3 linked regions of the Tamandua tetradactyla genome follow. The main gene of each other region encodes a partner of the protein of the gene in region 3 in a complex. Links are inferred from orthologs where the notes say so. Each region holds a gene or a part of one and is shown on either strand. Other genes may lie near its edges.

Region 1 (7,836 bases), on a different chromosome or scaffold from region 3:
TTAATATAAATCCCATTTCATAAAGGTAGAATAATCCCTATTCAATACTGTATATTTGAAACTGTAATGAGATCATCTCCCTGGTTGATGTGATTTAGTCAAGAATGGTTGTTTAACTGGATTAGGGGATGACATGTCTCCACCCATTTGAGTGGGTCTTGATTGGCTTATTGGAGTCCTATAAAAGAGGAAACATTTTGGAGAGAGAGACTCAGAGAGAGCAGAGAATGCTGCAGCACCACGAAGTGGAGAGTCCATTGGAGATGAGGAAGGAAAATGCCTCCCGGGGAGCTTCACGAAATAGGAAGCCAGGAGAGAAAGCTAGCAGATGACGCCGTATTCGCCATGCGCCCTTCCAGCCGAGAGAGAAGCCCTGACTGTGTTCACCATGTGCCGTCTTACTTGAGAGAGAAACCCTGAACTTCATCGGCCTTCTTGAACCAAGGTATCTTTCCCTAGATGCCTTTGATTGGACATTTCTTTAGACTTGTTTTAATCAGGACATTTTCTAGGCCTTAGAACTGTAAACTTGCAACTTATTAAATTCCCCTTGTTAAAAGCCATTCCATTTCTGGTATATTGCATTCCAGCAGCTAGCAAACTAGAACAGATACCCATCCTGGTGTCACTGCACTGACCACACCTACCGCCTCACCCATCCCAGCCTGGGAGCTCTTCATGGACAGGGGCCAAGTCTTTTCATCTTTTTCTTTCCTCAGTGGCTCTCACCATCCCTCCTAGGGAATGAGTACCACCCTGACCAAATCTACCATCCCCCCACAGCCGGCCCTTCATGGGCCTCAGGACCCATAGTGTCCCAAAGGCCAACACCTCCTATTCCCCATCCCCCACCCCCACCAGCCAGGTGCAGGCTCTAACTTTATCTGGCCTGTGGCTGCACTGGTTCCCAGAACAATTAGAGACAATGTCCAGCCCAAAGCCTGCCACTAGTCATTTTTACATCCTTTGGAGGTCCCCAGCATTCTAAACCTTAGCTTGGGGCTCCCTTCTGAACCTCCTTGCCATACATCTCCATGGCCCTGCTTCAACCTCACCTTCTCTTGCCTGGCTCAGATGTTCCCCTGGGATTGTTGCCTCTTCTCTCACACCCTTTTCCACCTAGAGCCAGGAGACCAGAGAGGTCCCCCCTGGGCTCACATCATGAGGCAGCCCTGCTGACAGTTAGACCTCCCCTTCCCGACCAGCCTGATGCTAGATATCTGAGGTCCCCACCCCACTACAAACACACTGCATTTGTCCCTCTGCCTCCTTCCGGACAGTCACCTTCCATCCTGGTCATTGGCAGGTGGCTGCAGGAGGGGACGTGGTAATGCCATGGGATATTTTCTGCTGAACACGCCCTCCCTCCCCCATCATGTGTGTCCTGTGGGTGGCTGAATGCAGGCCTACATCTCCTCTCACAGACTGGGCACTCCTGAGGACAGAGCCACCTTCTCCATCAGACCTAAGGCCCTTGACGGATGGCTGTCTCCCTCAACCCTGGCCCCAGCCTAGGCTCACACGAGGAGCTACCCACTCACCTTTCAGTGTCGCCTTCTTTAGCACCTTCATGGCGTACAGGTGTCCACTGTCAGGCCGGGTGACCTTTCGTACCAGGAAGACCTGAGAAGGCAGTGGGGTCGGGGTGGAGGTTGATGGGGGCACCTGGGACCGTCAGACCCCACCCTCCAGGTTCCAAGTTGACCTCTAACTTTCCGGAGCCCCAAGCTGACCTTCTGCCCTCCCCCAGCACCATAGTGACCTTGCACCATGGTGACCTCTCACCCTGCCCCCAGATCCCTCAACCCTACCCCCGATTTCCTGAGTGACCCCTCACCCCCCACCTCTGACATAACCAGGGAATTCCTCCCAGCAGTGGGCTCAGAACTCACTTTGCCAAAGGATCCCTGGCCCAGCACCTTGAGGAGCTCAAATTGGGATGGGTCGGCCTTCTCAGAGCCAGCCTTGACGTGGTGAGTGATGGAGATCTCCTTGAGGACGCCCTCATCCTGATTGAGGGACAGAGCTGGTGAGCACAGAGAGCCCACGCAGGGGCCCCCCCAAGTCTGGGACCATTCCCGCTGGACCTCAGTAGACAGCGTCCTGCAGGTCTGGCCAGGACACTACCCCAACTGCCTCTGAGTTTACCAACCCCAAAAGGGCTTCAGAGACCTGGAAGGGTCAAACCACCAAGGTGTGGGTCAGGCGACAAGGATGCTGGCACAACCAGGAAGGAATTCCCCCCAACCGCAAGCTCTGGCTAAAGCCCTGAGACCTCCAGGTCGTCCCTGAAGGGCTTCCCTTCCCCTGCTGCAAACGTTTTTGGTTTTGCTACAATAGGAAGTAGGGTTTATTCTCATACTGGGTAGGTGGAGTTGGACCTTTGTTCCTGGTCAGGATGAGATGGAGTGAATCCCTCTGGCCAACAGGACAAGGCCGAGGTACACAGAGAGCTGAGTCACCTGGGACTTCCCTACCTACCCAGTAAGCACCAGCCTCGGGTGGGTGGGAGTTAAGACCAGAAATGCCATGCCCACCCTTTCAAACTTCCCTTCAATGAGCCAATTGCCAGGCCCTGGCTGTTCTAGGAAGCTTCTGCTGTCTCCCAGTTTTCTGGTGTCTCTAGAGCTCTGAAGGCCTCTTTACTTCCCTGGGAAGCAAGTCTAGGCAGGGTCCAGTCACCCACGGGGCCAGGCTGGGACCAAGAGAGCCCAAAGACAACTTAGGCCAAATTGGCTGCCCAGGCACCTGCTCCAAGGGCCACAGCCAGGCCAGGACCAGATATCCGGGTACACTCACCGAGTCCTGCTGGGGGCCAGAGCCAAGGCCCGAGGCAGGCAGAGAGGTTTGGCTGATCCTGGGCCGCTGCTTCCTGGGCAGCCAGGGGAGCAGGGCCCAGAGCCGCAGACGGGGCAGCTTGGGATCCTGCTCCATCTGGCCAGCAGGGCCGCGGCACCATGGCAGGAGCAGGCAGCGTCCCGGGCTGCCTCGGAGGCGGCCCGGCCCAGGGCGGATGTGCAGGGTGATGGCGGGGGCTGGGCCTGGCCCAGGACCGCCAATCATTCAAGGTCTGTGGTTTCCCAGCTCCAGGCTTACACCCTCACCACGTTCCCTTCCTCTCTTTTGCCCTCACCCCAAAGCCTGAGGGCTGCCCTCAGGCCCTCCCTGCCCCAGCCTCCCTGGGGGCCTCATGCCAACATAGTTGCTGAGAAGCAGGTAAGTACTCTGGGTTAGGCAGGGACAGGCACCTAACATATGAAGGCAGATAAAAAAAAGACATCCAAAGGGCAGAGGCAGGCATCCAAGAGGTAGAGACAGAAAAAAACAAGCACCCTACAGGCAGAGGCAGGAGGAAACATACCCAAGAGGCAGAGATGGGCAGAGGCATGTTCTCAATGGCAGAGGCAGATGAGGACATGTACGTAACAGGTGGAGGCAGGAGGGGACATGTATGCAACAGGCAGAGATGAATGGGGACACGTATCTAATAGGCAAGGCAGGAGGGTACATGTACGCAACAGGTAGAGACAGAAGGGGGTACCAACCCAACAGGCAGAGACAGACAGGTGTGGGTCACCTAGTGGATGACATGTACCCAACAAGTGAAGACAGGAAGGCACTCAGCAGGTAGACACAGAGACAGGTAGACACAGAGACAGGTAGCAGGGCGAGGATCCCCAGGAAAGGGGGCGTCAGAGCTCCAAGACAGAGCTCTGGATTCTTTCAGTCTGCCTGGGGTGGAGGAAGGGATGAGGGGACATAACCTGCAAATCCCAAGAACCCAGGAGAGGAACCCGGTATTTGTGGCAGACCCATCTCTGAGGTCCCTAGGACCTTCTTCCCACCCCAGGACCTGAGGGGTCCAGGACTAAGATGGTGGGCTGAGGGGTCATCTCCAGAGCGCACTCTGATGGCTTTGACTCTAATCCAAAATATCCCCATTTTGAGAACAGGAAACTGAGGCCCAGAGAAGGACAGTGACTCACCCAGGCTCAAAGCAAGCCAGTGGCAGAGCCAGCTAAACCCAAGTCCCTCCCCTGGTTGCTGCCTGGCCTGGGATCAGCAGGCCTCAAGTGCCAGGAAAGGGTGGGCAGGTAAGGCAGCCAGAGCCACTTCCTCCCCACCGAGGCCTGCCCCCTCCCTCAGCATCAGGGTCAGTCTGGGGACTTCCCACTCTAGGCCTTGACCCTCAGAGACAGTCCCATCCCCAGGGGACCCTCCCTGAAAGAAGGGGGAGTGGTGTAACAGCCATAAAAAGCTGCAGGCAAATCAGGCTTGAGTACAAACCCCTGGTGGGATAGGCCGAAAGCCTGGCCCAGAGAGAGGCGGGGGGCGGCCAAGACCACACAGCCATTTCTGCCCACCCTGCCCTGAGAACTGCGCCTCTACCTCATCCGTCAGCTGTCTCTGACCGAGAATGCTCCCAGGGGACAGAGGCAACTATCGGGAAACCCCAGGACACAGAGACACCCCATCCTCCAAACCCTTGCCCTTGCCCAGAGTAATGGTGACACATCACGAGACGCAGGCCTTCTCTCTGCTCACCTTCCTGGGACAGAAGACCAAGTCTCCCCCAACCCTGGGGAAATCTGCCGTGGTCTGCATGGTGGGGCTCAAGCCGGTGGCCAGAGGGCCTTGTTACTCCCTTTACTTCTGCTTTTTCAGTCTTCCCAGCCCAGAAGGCAGGGTCCTTGGCCCCCCTCCTTCTCACTTCCCCCTCCGCAGGGAGGAGGGACAGAAGATGGGTCAGGCTCCCCTGCTGAGGAGGGGTTACCACAGACCCCAAGCCCGTTACCCCAGGGAGGACTGGGTGTGCGCCCCTCCCCATCTCCTCTAACCCTAGGGAGGGGACACAGGAATACAGATGGAGGTCATGCGGCAATGAGGTGGTGACACAGGGGGGCATCCCAGCACCCGGGAACACCCACCTGGAGGGGCCCTGAGGAAGGGGAGACAGAAGTCAGCAAAGCCATAGCCTCTGACTGCCCAGCCCAGAGCTTAGACGGTCCAGCTCAAGACACTCCTGCCCCCACAGCGCCCTTCCTGTGGCTGGGCCCACCCAAGATGCCAGCCTCACAGCCGGCACCACAGGACGCAGCCCTCCCCGGCTCCAGGGCTCTGCGTTCTCAGCCCTGCCCTGAAGAGGCTTGCTGCTCCAGGGCCCAGAGATGCAAGGGGGACAGCCCGACACAAAGGACAGGATAGAGGGGCAAGGGGCTGTGGGGCAGAGCCAGACCAGGCCCAGCCCCTTTCCATGTGGCCTCATCTTATCACTCACACCAGTGCACCCACAGGAACTGACAGGCACACAACCACACACTCAGGCCGGTGATCGGAAACCATTTCCACAGACTTGGCCTATGTGGAAATACACGCCTGCAGTGCCCACGGACTTCCCCTTCCCTGCCCTCACGGGGTCTCCGATAACAGCCTCCGATGGGCGATGCCAGGCGTTCTGAAATGCCTCCCTGAATCCGAGGCTTCTCACTGCACCCCAGCTTCCTCAGGCTCCCCCCATGGAGACCGGGACAGCCCTGGGAACCTCAAAGCTCTCTGGCCCAGCAGCAGAAGAGGGGCCGGTGTCAGCGGGGCATCCACCACCCCCATTCCCCCCGAAGCAGAGGAAGAACCGCTGCGGCCGGCAGGGCACAGGAAGGAAACAGTCTCAGAACGGCCTGCACAGAAGGGCATGCGGAGGGGCTGGGAGGCCTCTAGCGGCAGGAGGACAGGCACCAGCCCACATCCCCTCGGTCCCTGCCCTTCGCTCCCCACCAGAGACACTTCCTCTTGATTTACTTCCTCCCACATGGCAGCTGGAAGAGAGATCCAGAGCACTCTAGCCTGACCCTTGGTTCCCTGATTTCCAGCCCTGGCCTCCCTCCTCCAGCTGCCGCCCAAGCCCACCTGCTAGTCCCAGTGCGTAATGGACACCACTAGCCTTTTGCCCAGCTGGCAGCATCTGCGGGCCTACCAGGCACTAAACCCCTCTGGTGGGACAGATGCCCCCAGACGCAATTCCCAGCATGCCTCTGGGCAGGTGAGGAGGGAGGCTGCCATTCTCAGGCATCCCTGAAGGCAGAGCTGGCCTCAGGCACCAGGCCAGGACCTGCACGAGTGACAATGAGAACTGCACCTCCTATTAGCCAAGCGTGTTTTGCATGCGGCCATTCTTTTTTTCAACCTTTGCCAGTGGGGATTCTGCTGTTCCTGTACTCGGCACTGGGGCTGGGGCTGGGGCTAAGATCCTGTGTCTTGGCTCCAAGGGAGGTACTGTCATCTCATTTCAAAGATGAAGAAACTAGACTCAAAGAGAAAGTGACCTGCCCAAGGCTACATGGCTAGAAAGAGGTGGAGCCAAGGGCAAAATCGAAGTATAAAGACCCTGCTTTTAAGCATTCCCTCACTGTCCTTCCCGCAAGGGCAACCAGCCTGGTTCTCCTCCGGACATCATTCGCAGTGACTGATCCCCTCCTCTCCCTGGCCAAGAGGTGCGGAAGCTAAGGCAGACCCTGGTCTTGCCCTCATACACATGATAATAAAATACAACTGTCCTGCGACAGAACTGAGAGCAGGTGCTGTGGGTGCCTGGCAGTGGCAACTCAAAGCTGGGTTCTGCAGATGAGCAGACATTGGCCAGGCCGAAAGGAGGAAGGAAGACATACAGGCAGAGAGCCAGGTGTGGGCAAGAGTTTGGAGGCCAAGAGTAGAGGTGGGAAGTCAAGAAGAACTGGCCACACACTGGTCAAGTGCTCCCAGGCCACGGTCTTTCCCTGCCTGAGCTCTGATTTCCTTCTCTATAAAATGGAGGTAAAAATGGCATGCGCTACTCTCAGAAAGTTGTTTCTAGAAGCAAACTGGGCCATGGAGACAAAGGGACATTGTAAACAGAACTTCTCCTTGGTTTAGCTGGGCAGTCTTACCATGGTCAGAGGCCAGCCCCAGGGCCCCAGGTGCAGGGAGGGTGGGCCAGGGGAAGTCCTCCCCCAACACCTGAGGCTGCCCAAGGTTCCCCGAAGTCCGTGGTCACATCCTGCCTGAGCTCCAGCCAGGGGAGCATGAGGGATCCGGGAGGGATCAGGGTTTCATAAACAGGAAGAGAGGAGGGGAGGGGGTTGACACTCAGCTCTCAAAATAGACCTGCAGGCGCTTCAAAGGGGTCCAGCTCCGGAGGCAGCCAGGGGAGGGGGCCTGGGTTGCCCAGTCCACCCCCAGGAAGGGAGGGTGGGTGAATGGAGTCCCAGGGTGCCTGAGGATTCCAAATGCACCCAGAGTGCTGAAGGGATCCAGCGGAGCTCACCCTGAACCCGCTGTATACACTGTTGCCCCTAAAACCCCAATATCCCTTTCTGCCTGAAATGAACACAAATAAACAAGCGTTAAGGACCTGTATTGTGCCACAAACTTTGTTGGTTGCTTTATTTTAAACACATCACATTTTGGGCTCTATTCTCCTTCGACAGGAAAAGAATCTCAGCCTCAGAGGGGCAAGTCATTTGCTCAAGGTTGCAAGGCAAATGAGAAACAGGGTTTTGAACTCAGAATGCCTGAATGCTGAGTCCCAGCCCCTGCCATTTCTCCAGCCAGGAGGCCCGATTTCCTTCTCTAACTGCCCAAATCCCACCTGCCCTGTGAGGGCCAACCAAATGCCCATTCTGCAGGGACGGTGGCCTGGTGCCCCACAGCCCACCCAAGTCCTCCTCCCCTGCTGTGCACAGCAGTGACCATCTGTTTGGCCCATGCTGGGCCCTGGGCTCAGATGCTACTCGCTGGGTCCCCGGGACTCGCTCATCTCATCATGCCACAGAGAGAAACGTGGGCTCCTGGAAGGCCTGGACC
Region 2 (7,766 bases), on a different chromosome or scaffold from region 3:
GATTTTTAAAATCAATTTTTAATTGTGCCTTAGCTGGGAAAGTCAAACAGGCCAAAAATCCCATGTAAAGGTTACTTATTGTTCATGAATTCTAACACATTCATATAGACAAGACTTTACTGGAGATATACTTTCTAAATTGTGGAATTCAATCTGAAAGAAGAAAAGACAGAGCAGGTACGAAGTTGAAAGACAGCTAATTAATGAGATCTTACAAGTCAAAGCCCTTTCTTTTTACTTACAGATTCATAACAGATAATGGATCAGTTTCATCTCCATCTGGGAATAAGACTTAACAATGTCAAGTAACTCCATATCGATTTGCTATGTGAGATTTTTACCATAACATCTACTTTTAATTACTCACACTAATGAAGAGGTCATTAATGTAAAAACTGTTTATCGAATATAATACTTGTCAACTCTTTTTGAGAGTCGATTAACCTAATAATGATGTGCTAGTTTATGTTACTAAGTTAAAATTAAGCACAGAAGAACTATACTGGAAAATATGAGACTGGTTACAGATCTTACACAACAGAGACTATTAATATTAAGACTATTAATATTAAACACTATCAATATTCAAGGGCACCTTAATTTGTACTTTGAAAAATATATAATAAGTTTAATTTAAAAAGCATTCTAACCTAGCATCAAAGACAAAAACCCAACATTGGTCAATGAAATGTCATTTGGGCACAATAAACTTCAAAGTTTTATTGTTATCTAAATTCTTAGTGAAATTTTGTTGTAATACTTTTTTTTGCTTAAATAAGTGGGCCATAAGTTGGGGTTTTGTTATGCCTTGACTTTCACCATAATTTAATTTTATATGAATCATAACTATTTGTCTTAGAATAAACATTTTATTACAGTTTTTCTCCAGCCTAAATTCACATATACGATGCCTTTATTTTCCCCAAATTGTATTTAACATTTATGAGAATTTCCACATAAGAGAAAACTAATGCTAAAATGTTCAATGGCTTTTTTATGTTTAGCATATCTTTCAGCATTTCAAAATAGCATGCCATTAAGTAGGTATACCATTTTGTATGCGGGACTCTTGGATTAATAAACAGTACACCCATCCTATCCAAATCTCTTAAATAAAAAAATAAAGAGCCCAGGTACATTTACAGAGCATTCAAGGGTGCACACTTTGTAACTGGTGCTATGGGAAACAAAAAACATGAGTCTTGTCCTTTCCTGTGCACAATTCTGACAAATTATCTAATGAGTTACTTCTAATTTCTACAGGACCTAAAATCATGTATTTATTGAAAAGCCTGGTGAATTGTCAAGAAAGTTATGCAGCTTTCGGAAAAATTTATTCCATCTAACTAGAATATGCTTTTGTATTTAACACTTTTTAAAAATAAATACACAAATTACACATCGACAAATTCAACTATAATCAGATACCACAGTGAAACATCAGATAAAGAAGGTAGGATGCTCTGTGCAGACTTCAATGTAAGAACATGAGGTTTATATGCCAACGTAAAATCTTTCTGGCCTTTTACAAAGGTCCGCTGGCTATTCTTTAACAAAAACAGCTGAAACCGAAAACTATTTTTCAAAAATTATCTCTAAGAAGAAGTAAGACCTACTACATATATGCAACCAAAAGTACAGGAAACATAGTTGTTTAGATTCTGAAGCAAATGCCCTAAACCCTACACGTTTTATTACAAGGAATTAATAAAGCCGATAGTATATGAGAAAACATGGATATACAGTAAGGCGGACAACACATGGGGACATCTCTCTGTCGAAGAGTCGTGACAGCAAAATCACTTCCTGAGGAAGGAGGAGCAAAAGGGAAGTTAAGAGGCCACCCTGACCAGGAAGTGACTTGCCCTAAATTAGCCACAATCATATCTAATAATGGGGGGATGGGGAGAACCCTACTAGCCGAAGACAGTATAACAACCGCTTCTTGATTTGTCGCGACATCACCAATGCCTTTCCCATAATCACAAAAACGTGTCTACAGTCATGATTCAATAAGAGTGTCTACCCTCGCAGGGAGGCTACTGGGCTGTGCCTCAGGCCCAGGAGGGAAAGGAGAGCGTTGAGGAATGGGGAAATAGAGCCACCGTGAGGCAGAGGAAGACCCCTTGAGAAGGAAGCGTCCCAACTGCGTGGAGTTTATACCAGCACGGGCCAATAAACTTATATTACCTGAGGACACTTCCAGGGTTCCCAGCGCAGCCGGGTCGGGCCCCTGTTCCCTGAGAGAAAAAGAGACAGAAAGAGAGGCGGACCCCTTACCTTCTCCTCGTCCGACACCCGATCCTCGAAGTCGGCCATCTTGGGCTCCTCTGGCCCAACCCGTCCACCCGCGCGAGGCAGGCCGGGAAAAAAACCGAGCGATGGAATTACCGCGGGGGCCCAGCGAAGGACCCGCCCGGAAACGCCGACGGAGGGAGCGCCATGTTAGTTACGGGCGGAGGTGGTGGTTCCGAGCGCCAGTAGTACAGGAAGTCGTTTTTAAGTGAAATATTTTTCTGAGTTACATCCATTTTCTCATTCATTTCTTCGACGCTGGGGACGTGTTTGAACTGCTCTTGGGTTACGAGCTTTAAAGTCCATCCGACTAAATAGCAGTTATACTCCTGTAAAATTTCCCGGCACCAATGATCTCCGTTGCAGCCGAGTCCAAAGCGCTAAACGCTGCTCGGATCCTGGAATGATCGATGGCTTTTCCAACCCCAGGAATGGGGTGAAAGATCACCCTCACCTCTTATGTAGGCAAAAACACCACTCCGGGGTCACATCTCTGTCCAGTGATGTGGACAGAACAGGTGTCGCTATCCATCCCTTCCCCAACCCCCGAAGGAATTTGTAGCTTCAGTCTTAGGACATTCCTCCACCTTTCAAATCCGTCTCCGTTCTCTAGGACTCGACCTTCAAATAGGCCAGCTTCAGGTCCTCCACTATCCCAGGATTCCCGGCTCCTGGTTTCCTCCCCTTCTCCCCCGCCCCCCCAGCTCCCGGCGCCTGCGGAAACGGCAAGATGGCGGACGGTGACGGCTTGGGCCAAGTCGCTACTGCTGCAGCATCTCCTTCTGCATCTGCTCCGGGCCTGAGCTCGTCGCTGGGCTGGAAGGAGCGGCTGCGGGCCGGGCTGGCGGGAACTGGGGCCTCGCTGTGGTTCGTGGTGGGGTTGGGGCTTCTTTACGCTCTGAGGGTCCCGCTGAGGCTGTGTGAGAACTTGGCAGCGGGTGAGAGGCCCAGACCTCCCCAGGGACGGGCAGGGATTCAGAATAGGTGCCGGGGCGAGGGCCAAAGGGCAGAGATTCTCTGTAGTCACTGGAGGGCTTTGAAGAATGAGTGGATAATGCGTGGCTAGTGCATTCTTTTTCTCTTGAGCCGCAACCCCTCGCTGTGAAACCTAAGCTGAGCTCCTGGCTCCTCCCTAGAGCTCTTAGGATCCTCCCTCTCTCTTCCTTCCTGGTTTACCCGAGGAAAACCACCTGACATGCTGCAGGTGGTAATACAGAAGTGAGCCCTCTCAGACTGGATTACAGAATTCATATCCCACCGTTGATAGGATCCCCTCAAAATCATTCCATTGAGTCTCCTGTAACCCAGCTGAAAGCCCACATCCAAAAAACAGATGAACAGAGATCTCAAAGAACTCACATTCAGACAACAAAAACAAACAAAAAAAAGGCCATGGCCTTTTCATTGAACCATTCTCATGTTTTAGAATAGACCTGCCAAGAAATAGTTTTCGTGATATTTTTGTTGTAGGCTTTATCTTAAATAATGAAGCAATATGCAGAAAGTAAGTCATAAACAGCAGTTCATTAGTTCATGCAACGTTTGTAGAGGGCTTGTTAATGTAGTTTCGACCGAATATGGAAGACCCATAAGAAGTGATAATATCTGTGGATACTGTAGATAGTGTCCTTTAGCAGTACCACGGATAAAGTGGTTGGGGCCTTGGGCCTCTCACCGTATCATTGCAATTTTCCACTCGAGCTCTGAGAGCACCCCAGAACAATATGCAAATATTTCTGTTACGTGATATCTTTGCTTATCAATGCAGTAGTTTGTTTTTCTGTAATAAGAGAAGGCAGTTATCCCCTCTTCTATAAGATGACATGAAAGACTGAGATAATGTTATGAAATATTTTGTACTTTTTAGAAGGGAATTATGTAAATTCCGATGTAACTAACACACTAAAACCAGTTAAATAAACTGGCCTTCCTAGATTATTTGAAAGAGCTAATTGGTTGTTCTTTGTAGCAGGTGAATGAAATCCTTAATTCTGGTTGGTATCCTCTGAATGTTAATTATTGAGTTAATTCTTTTTCTTCATGTTAACTAGATATACCATAGAGATGAGAATATTTCATTATGATAGATTTTTATTTCTTCGTAAAGTCCGGTGTCCAAAAAAAATAATTTATGAGACAATTATTTGACATGAAGAATCTGGTTCTGGATTTCACAATGAGTCAGGGACAGAGAGCTCTCAGTTTATTGCTTTTCTCTTTGCGCTCTTTTGTCTCTCTGACATGCCAGGTATATACGCTATTTCCTACCCTCACTGTGCCAGAATTCTATCATTCTAATTTGAGACACTGTTTTGTGTCTCACCAAAATAAGTAGTTTTAAACCTCCTTTGTGAAAGGATGTTTGTTTAGCTTCTTGCCCTTATAGAGTAACAGAAGTTCCTGTCCATAATATGACCGATAAATTCTTAGTTTTATTCTCAGGAGCAAGCTCAAGAATCTCATTTTGATGGGCTGCTTATTTAACAAGTCAATAGTGTAAAATGTTACCCTTTATGGGTGCGAATTCATTTTTAAGATATACAGTGATGGGAATTTAAATGATCTTTTTTAAAAAATTACAACTTTCTCAAATGAATCTCATGCTAGATATTAATATTACTTCTGTCCCCCTAGCCATAAACTCACCTGCATATTTTTAATTTAAATACTTTGAATTTGCATTTTTTAAACTTTGGTTTCTTTTTTCTTTTGACAGTGACAGTATTTTTAAATTCACTGACACCCAAATTCTATGTGGCACTTACAGGGACGTCATCTTTAATATCAGGACTAATATTTGTAAGTAATTTCCATTTCCTTCATTCACATTTTGGTATTTATCCAAAGACTAAATCCCTTTGTATAGTTATGATAATTATAAATGCTTATAGCTCAGCATTTCCAAAATGTATTCAGCCTTTGGAAGAAAGTGCTACCTATTCAAATAAATTTGGGGAAAACTGCATCTTCCTCAGCACTCTTAGAAACTGTCAGTATTCATTTCTATATTAAAGGCTTTATTACATGCAGTACTGCAGGGGTGGCAGACAAAATGTCTGCAGAACCCTAGCTTGGTAACAAAAATAGGCAAGGTATAAGAATTATTCCTTATTTAATTTGAGGACTTAATAATCTGGCGAATGCATGCCCCTTCTAAAATAGGAATAAAAACTAATTGTTTCCATGTAGATTTGCATTCCACTATCCCCAGATCGTCCAGTTTTTCAAATGATTTTTTAAAAAATCTGGATATACGATTTTTATATAGAATCTCCCAGTATTTTAATGTTGACAACACTGAGCAGACTAAAAATTTACCTGCTCCTGAATTCAGCCTTTAGGCTGCCAGTTATGGTCTCTGGAGTATTTAAGACTAGGTTTTGAAGCCAGGCTGCCCATCACTTACTTGGTATGTATGTGACTTTGAGCAAGTTAATTAACTTTTTAAGCCTTAATTTGCTCATCTGTAATCATGGTTTCCATTTCATAGGCTGATGAGGACTAAATATGGTAATATGTGTAAAAGCTTGTAACATGACTGGCTCGGACTGAGCACTTAATGAATTTTGGCCATTATTTTTCTGAGAAGTTCACAATAAAGGAGCCAATTAAACCTTTCTTTTTTTTTTTTTTTTTTTACTTTTTATTTACTTTTCACATAGCTGTGCATTAATCATCACAATAGACTTTTTTCTTTTTTGTGAAAAATAACATACATACAAAAAAGCAATACATTTCAAAGCACATTGCAACAGTTAATTATAGAACAGATTTCAGAGTTTGGTATGGGTTATAATTCCACAAGTTTAGATTTGGAGACTAAAAGAAATATCAATATAATGATTCAGCAATCATACTCATTTGTTACCCTACCTTCTCTGTATAACTCCACCATCACCTTTGATCTTTCTCTCACTCTTGAGGGATGTTTGGGCTATGCCCATTCTAACTTTTTAATGTTGAAAGGATTGTCGAAAATATGGGATAAGGGAATGGACCTAGTTGATGCTCTGAAGAGGCTGGCCCCTCTGCATTTCAGGACTTATCAGTTCCAGGGATCCATCTGGAGGTTGTAGGTTTCTGGAAAGTTAGCCTTGTACATGGAGACTTTGAAGAATCTTACATAACATCTAGGTGTTCCGTAAGATTGGCAGGAATGATTTTGGTTGGGGTTTGGCAAGTTATGATAGGTAGCAGTGTCTAACTGAAGGTTGCATTAAGAGTACTCTCCAGTGTAGCCTCTCTATTTGAGCTCTCTCAGCCACTGATACCTTATTTGTTACACTTTTTTCCCATTTTGGTCAGGATAGCATTGTGGATCCCACGGTGCCAGGGTCAGGCTCATCCCTGGGAGTAATCACCCACGCTGCCAGGGAGACTTTCACCCCTGTGTATCATGTCCCTCATAGTGAGGAGAGCAGTGATGCCACTTGCAGCTGGGAAGCCAGTTTAACTGTAATTCAGTTTTTCCTTGTCCTATTTGACCAAGAGCTCATTTTTAATTAAATTTTAAAATTTTATTTTATAATTCCTATTAGCATCCCTAGTGTAAACTTTGGAAAAATACTGCTACAGATAAAAATCTTAAGCAGTTTTATGCTGCTTGGCCAATGAATTTTTCTGTCCTTTTTTCTCATCTCTAGGTGGTGCTCTTCAGCTGTAATAGAAATGATCGTATTTGTATTGCTGCTTTATATAGATATATTTAGTGATTAACTCTGCCCATTTTGTTTAAGTGAAAAGCTGGACAAAAAAGGGATTTTACTCTTGGCTTAAAAAAAAGACACTGTTCAGGAATTCCGGATAAAACTATTTGTTAATATAAGCCTTAATTTATTGATTTATAAAACCCAGTCATAATTAAGTATATTTTGCCAATAGCATATAAAAGTCTAAATGAAGAAAATAACTATCTTTAAATAGCTAATATAGTGCGAAAAGCTTTGGTCTTGGAACCGGAAGGGTTGGTGACCCTGCCTCTTAGTGTGATAACTTTGAATAAGTCACTTAAACTCTCTGAGTCCTAATTTCCCCTAAAACCATTTTAAAATTTTGTTTTTACTATTTTTAAAACAGATTTTAAGTGTACAAAAGTTAGGAAATTCAAATAACATCTTAAGGGTTAAACTGGTTCATTGCCTTTGAAATACCGATGGGTTTTTATTAATAAAGGTTATTGGGTTTGTAATTTATTTTGCCACCTAGGCTTATCAAACCTGTAAACACACATACACTGAAGTATGTTTCTGGGGCAGGTGGAGGCAGTTGGTTGATACAGTGGTTAGAAGTTCTGAAGTCAGACAAACCTGAATAAGAATCCCTGCTCTGCCACTTAAACCAGAGTTATTTAAACTTGGTGTGTATTTCCTCATCTGAAAAATGTGTTGTTAGGAGGCTTAAATGACATGATGCAAGTAAAGGACCTATCTCATAGAAAGCTTTTGATAGACATTAGCAATTATTATCATTGC
Region 3 (7,622 bases):
TACATCAGTCTGGGTGCAGTCAGGACATCGTAATTTAAACAGGAGAAGGTTAAAAATAAGGAATTATAAAACTACGCTTTAACAGCAACCACAAAGAAGTAAAGAGAAACCTAAAGGGTGCCTGAGGGCTGAGGGAGAGGGCCAACGCTGGACAGCCAGTGGGCAAGCGGGACGGATGCTGTTGGGATGTGGTCCACGACACACAAAACTGTCCCTGCATGCCACCCAGGCCACGTGTTGGGGCTGTATTCACAGTGAGCAACCATAACCAATGAGGACCTACAGTGGGCTTCACTCTGGATGCAGGGAATTCCCTGAAATCGGTGCTCCTGTGCTGGAAAGCAGCCACTGTACTGGGCACAGGGCACCTGACCATGCACTCGGGGGCAAAGGACAACCTGCAGGAACATGAAGTGATGGCTACCACTTTTCAGTAATAAAACCCTCTGCGTCCAATTCACGAGTCTCATGTCTATGGCTGACATCATAACTGCTACCCTGTCAGCATGCAGGGAGGGTAAAATTTCAGACCCTTTGCTCCAGAGGCTCCACAGCTGGTCCCAGGGCACACAGCGGGAGTCGGGGTCACACTGAAGGTGTGTGCATGAGCAATGCAGGTACCACACCAGGTTGCTGTGGGAAAAGCCTTCCCACACATGCAAGTCAAGGTTGGGTGGATGTGCAAAAGGAGTTGGGGAGTTGATGAATGTGCAAATTTTGGAGCACACAGTGTCCACATCAGGGGAGGCAGACCAAGGTGGTCATCAGGCCAAGGTCAGTCTGTCAGGCCACCAAGTGCTGCCCTCTCTGGGCATGGGGCTGGGGCAGAGCACTGGCTGCACCCAGACAAGGCACTGCTGAAGAGCTGCGAGGCAGACAAAGCAAAACACACTACCCCAGAACCCCAAGTCCTCTTCCTCCCGCAATGTTCTTCCAACACCCTCTACCAGCAAAGCTTAACATCATGCTCGTTGTTTCAGCTTGTTGAAGCTGATGAAATGCAATATATTAAAAAATGGACTGGCTTTTAACAATGGGGATTTATTACCTGAGAAATTACAATTCTAAGGCCCTAAAAATATCCGAACAAAGGCAACAACAGGACGAAGATGGGCTGCTGACGATACACAGGGCATCTGTAGGTCCTTCTCTCCCAGGTTGGTGGCTCCCAGGCCCTGGCTGCACTGGCCTCCTCTCAGTCACCCATCTCCGGGTGTGCCCTTGACTCGCAGCCTCTCTGGGGCTTTAACTGTGAGCATCTCTTAATTTTACTTCTCAGCTTCAATAAAGGATTAAGAAGCACCTTGTATGGGTGGCTCATATCTCAATTGAAACAACCTAACAAAAAGCCCAGCTATACCAGGCCTGCCCCACCCGGAATGGAGTGAAAGAACATGGTCCAAGGGGGGCCTGCAGTCTGGGCCGCGGTCATGATGGACACAAGGTGGCCACGACAACCACAGATCTCAGCCTCTTACAGAGGGGGCCCTGTCACAATAAAGAGTACAGCAATGGACGAGGGAAGGGCACACTGTGGCGTAGACATACAATGGGTGACAAGAAGGACTGAGGTCAGGAGACAGGCAGCTAGGTAACGGAGCCTTGAGGAATTATGTGGAGTGAAATAAGTAAAAAATGAGGGGACAAATGCTGTCAGTCCTCACAAACATGGGCTAACTATAATGAGGAAACTCTGAAAATTGAATTCGACAGCACAGATTATCAAGGGAAGAACGAGGACAGAGATTGGGCAATCGACGATTAAGGAGTACAGAATGTTCAGGAAGGCTTACTACAGATGTCCCTACATTTCAGTCAGCCAACCAAAGGAACTGCTAGAGTCTGCTCCGGCTGCACGAGCTAGCACATCTAATCTGGAATCTCTAGCAAGTGTTCCCATGTCAATGAATTTAGTCCTAGACAGTGATATAGTCCACCCTCCTTAGCATAGTAGCACTCGGAACTCAGTCCTATACATGTTCCCCAATTATTCTGGTGTGTAAGTGGTTGCTTCCTGGATCACAGTATGTACTGCTCCTGGAACATGGTAAGATTCACCCTAGCAATGGCTCTAGGGATAGCAGGTGGTGGCTGTTCTCTTGAAGTGTGTGAGTAACCCCTTTCCAGGCACCCCAGGCGAGGTCATCACGGGGATGTCAGGCAGAGAAAGGCTGGTCTACTCAGACACCAGAGGGAAACCTACTTCCAATGGTAAGGGAGTCTCAGGATGACTTTGGGGAGGTCAAGATTTTCAGTTTCATCTAAGTACAAGATGCGCCCATCCCAAGTGTCAAAATCCTATTCTTTCCCAATCAATGCCCTCATTTTCACATGAGAAAATGTAATTTAGCAACTCATATAACTATATGTTTTATTTATTTATTTTTCATGGGCAGGCACCGGGAATCAAACCCAGGTCTCCGGCATGGCAGGCGAGAACTCTGCCACTGAGCCACCGTGGCCCACCTGTAATTAGATTTTTTCTCTCTCTCTCTCTTTTTTTTGTTGCTGTTGTTTTTTTTCTTCTATTTTATAATTAGATTTTCTGTTTGGTTTTTCAGCAGTATCAGCCCTGCGTAGGGATGGCATGGTGCTTCCTGGTTCCGAGACTGCATCTTGAGCTTGTCATGTTCCCTCTGCAAGCACCCAAGTGCCCTGAAAAACTCCATTCCATACCACAGTCCTTTACTTCCATAATGGCCAAGGAGAGCAGCACCTGGGCTCCCCTGGCATGTGCTTCCATCGGTACCTCACCAGGACCCACAAGGCACAACTCAGTGAGTTGTCTGTCAGCACCATGGTGTGCTGGCATCCAGGTGTCTGTTAGCAAGAAGCCAACCATTCCCTAAATTTCGTGATTTTGGACTATCTCCTGAGACCACTTTAAGATCAATTCTGTGTCAGTTCCAGTTCAGACAGGAGACAGAAACTACACAGGATTTACATAGGGCAGGGTAAATAAAAAGAATTATTAAACTATGATAGGAGAGTGACTATAAATATGTGAAGAGAATTCTAAAGGGGGACCTAGGGCTGAAGGCGAGCACTCAGGGAGGGGTAAACCTGGAAGAGCATCTCCTCCCTCCCCAAGCTTGGATTCAGACCTTGATGGGGAAGGTGTAACTCCAGCCCCCCAGATGGGCAGAGAATTTTCCTGTGCCAGAGCTGGTCTAGTCGCTGGTGAGCAGGAAAACTCTCTGGCCTTCAGGTGAACTGAGGCTGGTAGACAGGTTTGCAGAGGGAGCTGTGGCATATCTACAGGCATGATGTCGGGAGCAAGTGGTGTCCACATCAGGGAGTCTCTGATGCTCAGGTGAGTCAAGGTTGGTCGGCAGGTGTGTGTGTGTATGTGGCGGGGGCTGGCGATGCCCCATGGATGTGAGCTGTTCACAGCGTTGCCGTAGGAAAGCCACAGGGCGGTGGCCACCAGGCCTAGGGCTGGGGTAGAGCAGACCAGATGACCTCACACATCAGCATGATGGGCCAACATGGAGCAGGCCAGGGACAGAAGCAGAAGTACAACAGCCCAGCCCAGGGGGAGAAGCAGAGGATGGCATCCCATCCCCAGTCATGTCCTGCCAGCAGCCACTGGCAGGTAGAAATGCTGGCAGGGTCCTCCCGGCACCACAGCAGGCACTGAAGGGCAAGTGTGGAACAGAGAGGCACACCTGCCCTTGTTGTTTAGCTCCACACACTTACTGAGCTGAAAGTGAGGGACAAAGGGAAATTTACACCAGATAAGCAAAGCCAAGGCTGGCCTCCTCACCAGGATAGGTCTGCCTTAGCCTCAGATCAAGCCGGGGATGCTGGCTCCCTTGTTTCTCTGTTAAGGAAGGGAAGACCTATGGGCTGGCTGGTGGTGAACAGGGAGGTCTCGCTGGTTACAAAGGCTATGCTCAGACCGACAAATAACTTCTGAAGCATCAATTCTAAAATACTTTGCTGATCTGCACATTTTCCATTACCATTTCTGTGCATCTTTGGGATGTCTCATCAGATCAAAGCCTCCTCTTGGAGGCTCAGGTCGGTGCAGCTGGAAATAGGCGTGAGCTGAAGGGAGACAGGGGGCTTGGCCTTCACTTTCCCTGGGCCTCGTCTTCAAAACAGAGTATTTGGACAGGGCATTTCCCAGGCACCACCCAACTCTGGCAAGCTGTGACCTTTCACCCCAGGGTAAAGGGAGCGACCTTGGGGTGCAACTGATGTGTCTTCAACTATATAAAACAAGGGTTTTCCTTAAAACTATCGAGTGTCTGTTATACCACACAGCCAGGGCAGCTGCCCCTTCCAGAACCAAGTTCCACGGGGCCTTGCAGGCAAGCGGAAGCCAGGCAAGCTGGCCTGGGAAGCTGGCGGAGATGACAGGAACTCAGTGGTCCTCACCATTGGAAACTAGCCCATGAACCACTTTATCTCCTGCACACGGCCCGTGCTTGGAAGCTTCTTGCACTTGGCTGTACATTTGCTTTGTCTGAATCCATTAATCCAGCTCTCTCTCCACTCCCCACCCTGGCTTTAGAGGAACATCGATATTCATGTAATAAATAAAAAGCACGAACGCTGACTCCCCACTTCCTGCCCCCAGGTCTTTTCCTGCTTTGCCCGGGTTCAGGGCATGCGCTTGGTCCACGCAGCCCAGTGTGCACTGGTCAGCTCCCCGCCCCCGCCCTGCCTGTGGCCCCATTGGCTGCCGCTGCCTGCAGTGGGACTGCAAGGGGGCCGCAGCTCTTCAGCCTGGGAGAAGGAAGGAGAGAGGGAGGCTCCCGTCCCCAGCGCGCCTGTCGCTCAGAACACCCGCAGCCCGACGACAGCAGCAGGAGGTGAGAACAGGAGTAGGCAGCCCCAGAGGAGATGGGAGCAGGGGTGCGAGCTGGGAGCAGGGGGCTGGGTGGTGGCTAGGAGGCCCCTTAGGATAACCGGCAGAGCTGTAAACGTGTCACTGGCCCTCCAGGTTTTAATCTGAACTCTGCAGTCGAGCTTATTACTGCTTTGTGGACATCTGATGACATCCACGCTAGACTGCAGGAGGGCTTGCTGCCTGTGCTCTAAGACTGCAAATCAGAGAAATCTCCAGTTTAATGACTCTAAGTGACTGGTGATATCTTCCCAGAGGAACTACAAATGCTGCTGCTTCTTTAACTCTTCGAGGTGCAGGGCTTTTCTTCCCTCTGGGACTGAGAAGCACGGAGCCTCGCACCATAATCGATTCATCTCCCGCCTCCTGGTCACTACTTTCAGAGCCTGGGGTAGGAAGTTGCTTCTTGGTTTTCTGGTTTCCATCCATTTGAAATGCCAGAAACTACATGACAACGGAGAAACACTTTGCAAATAAATTATGAACAGGATCAAAGAAAGGAGGGTCTATGGTGGGGTTTCACTCTGTGCAGTGTTGCAATTCCTCCAGGAGGAGAGCTGCTCCTGAAGACCCCCACACCAGACGGACTATATAACTGTGCCTCTCAGAACAGCTGAACTCCAAAACTTCTCTTTTCTAATATGAAAAGATTAATGCAGAACATTCATAAAATGGAGTGAGAAGGAAACATAGATACATAATTTCAATTCCTCTTAAAATCATCATTTGTCCCCCACTATGCGGGTTTTTAATGACATGAGAAAAGGCTTAAATTTGAAACAAAACAAAAAAACCTAGCAGGTTATACAAATCTATACTTAGCATAATCTCTGCTATGTAAAAACAACAATGCATAAGAAGACTAGAAATAATTATCAAGTATTTTCATGGTGAGGTTATATGGGTGGTAAGCTTATGGGTTGTTTCTTCTCTATTGCACTTTACTTCTGTATCTTCTGCAAAGCATGTGTTTCTTTGATGATGAGAAAAACATAAACAGGAAAAAGAGAAATAACTTACCAAGTGTCCTGCTTTTTCGCTTTGAGCTTATGTCTTGATGGCTGAAATTACCACACTCTCCAAATCCAGCCCAGTTTTGTAATATGTATCAGGAAGGGTTTATCTATTTCCTCTGCCTGGCGAGGCAGTCTACAGTGGAACTGCACTGATGTCATTCTCTTCTGCTCTTCTGTCTCATCCAGATGCTCTCAAACATGCTCCCACCTCAGATTTATGTCTCAAAAACGAAGAAGTTAAAGCTCTTCTTGATATACCGAACTGCTTTGCTTCTCTTAAGTCTGTTTCTTTTTCATTCCTGATGATTCTCCCCAAAAAGGACCCACAGATGGAAGTATCCACAAGGAAATCTGTTCCCTGGTACTCCTGAGCACTAATCCCCTTAAGAAATAATTTTTTTCCTAAAGTTTTTGAATACTGGGATGTCTCTGAAGACACTCTAAGGAAACTCTCACCAAGATGATGACTAGATGACTTCAGAGGCTACAGCATAACTGGAGAAAGTCCAGAAACCGTACTGATTGGCTTTGTTACAAATTCATACTCTCTAACCTCAACTGGATTTTCACGGCTACTGAGTAATCCTTTTAGCTGTCTCCTCTTAACTTTATATGCATTCCTTACAGCAGCTGCTCCAGTCATTTTCCATTCTCAAATTTCCAAACCGACCCTATGCCCCAATCACCAACTCGTAGCAGCTAACTTCTTTCTTCTCTCATTTTACTGAGAAGATCAAAGCCATCCAATTCTTCAGTCTTTCAATTTCCTTTCTCTATATCTTAATATTTCTCTGCATCTTTACTTTTACTCACCTCTTACCCATTTCAGAGAAAGAAATCTTTACCACCTCTGATTAATCGCTCCATGTGTGCTCACGAGTCCATGCTGTCTCAGTTTCTCTGGGATCTTGCTCTACCTATTATCTGTATTTCACTTACATTTTATTGAGAAATACCCACATACAGTCCAACCATATTACACAATCAGGCTCACTGTGTCACCACACAGTTGTGTGTTCTTCACCATGATCACTTTTAGTACATTTGCATCACTACAGAAGAAGATATTAGAAGAAAAAACTCATACATTCCATACCCCTTACCCCTCCCTCTCATTGACCAGTAGTATTTCAATCTGTGCAATTTTTCACCCTTTATTCCCCCCTTGTATTTATCCTTAATTTTTTATTCATCTGTCCATACCCTGGATAAAAGGAGCATAAGACACAAGGTTTTCACAATTACATGGTCACATTGTAAAAGATGCATTGTTATACAATTGTCTTTAAGAATCAAGCTACTGGAACACAGAGCAACAGTTTCAAGTACTTCCCTCCAGCCACTCCAATACACCATAAACTAAAAAGGGGTATCTATATAATAGGGAAGAATAACCTCTCAACTCTGTTTGAGATCTCTCAGCCACTGAAACTTTATTTTGTTTTATTTCTCTCTTCCCCCTTTGGTCCAGAAAACTTCCTCAATCCCACGATGCCGGGTCCTGGCTCATCTCTCGGAACACCGTTTCCTTTTCAAAAATCTCACTATTCATACTTTACAGAAAAATTACTTATCCCCTTCTCCAAATCATCATGGATTCTAAAAACATTAGGATAATGAAAATGTGGGTTTTTTGTTTTCTTTAAAAAGATCAGTTATTGAAAACCTGGGTCTTATAAAGAATAGTTAAGTACAAAATGTTAAATATTTTTAATGCATCTGAATTATTCTTTCTATATATTTCTGATTTT

The links.
Region 1: the proteins of S100B (region 3) and RPS6KA1 are in contact, whole or in part, in a crystal structure (PDB 5CSJ), measured with the Homo sapiens proteins. The link is inferred for Tamandua tetradactyla from reciprocal best matches to the Homo sapiens genes S100B and RPS6KA1. Residues at the interface, in NP_006263.1 of Homo sapiens: Ser42, His43, Phe44, Leu45, Glu46, Ile48, Val53, Val57, Ala84; in NP_002944.2 of Homo sapiens: Ala697, Met698, Ala699, Ala700, Thr701, Ser703.
Region 2: the proteins of S100B (region 3) and CAPZA1 are in contact, whole or in part, in an NMR structure (PDB 1MQ1), measured with the Homo sapiens proteins. The link is inferred for Tamandua tetradactyla from reciprocal best matches to the Homo sapiens genes S100B and CAPZA1. Residues at the interface, in NP_006263.1 of Homo sapiens: Glu46, Glu47, Lys49, Val53, Lys56, Val57, Thr60, Phe77, Met80, Val81, Ala84, Cys85, Glu87; in NP_006126.1 of Homo sapiens: Thr265, Arg266, Ile269, Asp270, Trp271, Asn272, Lys273, Ile274, Leu275.

The regions. Positions count from the first base shown.
Region 1 is NC_135328.1:199,665,609-199,673,444, forward strand, and holds the start of RPS6KA1 (ribosomal protein S6 kinase alpha-1), read right to left. Parts: upstream 3,001-7,836; 5' UTR 2,935-3,000; coding exon 2,800-2,934; intron 2,010-2,799; coding exon 1,893-2,009; intron 1,624-1,892; coding exon 1,542-1,623; intron 1-1,541. UniProt on the Homo sapiens protein: Serine/threonine-protein kinase that acts downstream of ERK (MAPK1/ERK2 and MAPK3/ERK1) signaling and mediates mitogenic and stress-induced activation of the transcription factors CREB1, ETV1/ER81 and NR4A1/NUR77, regulates translation through RPS6 and EIF4B phosphorylation, and mediates cellular proliferation, survival, and differentiation by modulating mTOR signaling and repressing pro-apoptotic function of BAD and DAPK1.
Region 2 is NC_135337.1:9,448,335-9,456,100, forward strand, and holds the start of CAPZA1 (F-actin-capping protein subunit alpha-1), read right to left. Parts: upstream 3,001-7,766; 5' UTR 2,814-3,000; coding exon of another isoform or gene 2,699-2,813; 5' UTR 2,521-2,698; coding exon of another isoform or gene 2,520-2,520; 5' UTR 2,504-2,519; coding exon of another isoform or gene 2,503-2,503; 5' UTR 2,320-2,502; coding exon 2,281-2,319; exon of another isoform or gene 2,209-2,280; intron 1-2,208. Other genes in the region: ST7L (suppressor of tumorigenicity 7 protein-like), read left to right, coding at 3,026-3,233, 5,012-5,094. UniProt on the Homo sapiens protein: F-actin-capping proteins bind in a Ca(2+)-independent manner to the fast growing ends of actin filaments (barbed end) thereby blocking the exchange of subunits at these ends.
Region 3 is NC_135336.1:109,048,892-109,056,513, reverse strand, and holds the start of S100B (protein S100-B), read left to right. Parts: upstream 1-4,611; 5' UTR 4,612-4,820; intron 4,821-7,622. UniProt on the Homo sapiens protein: Small zinc- and- and calcium-binding protein that is highly expressed in astrocytes and constitutes one of the most abundant soluble proteins in brain.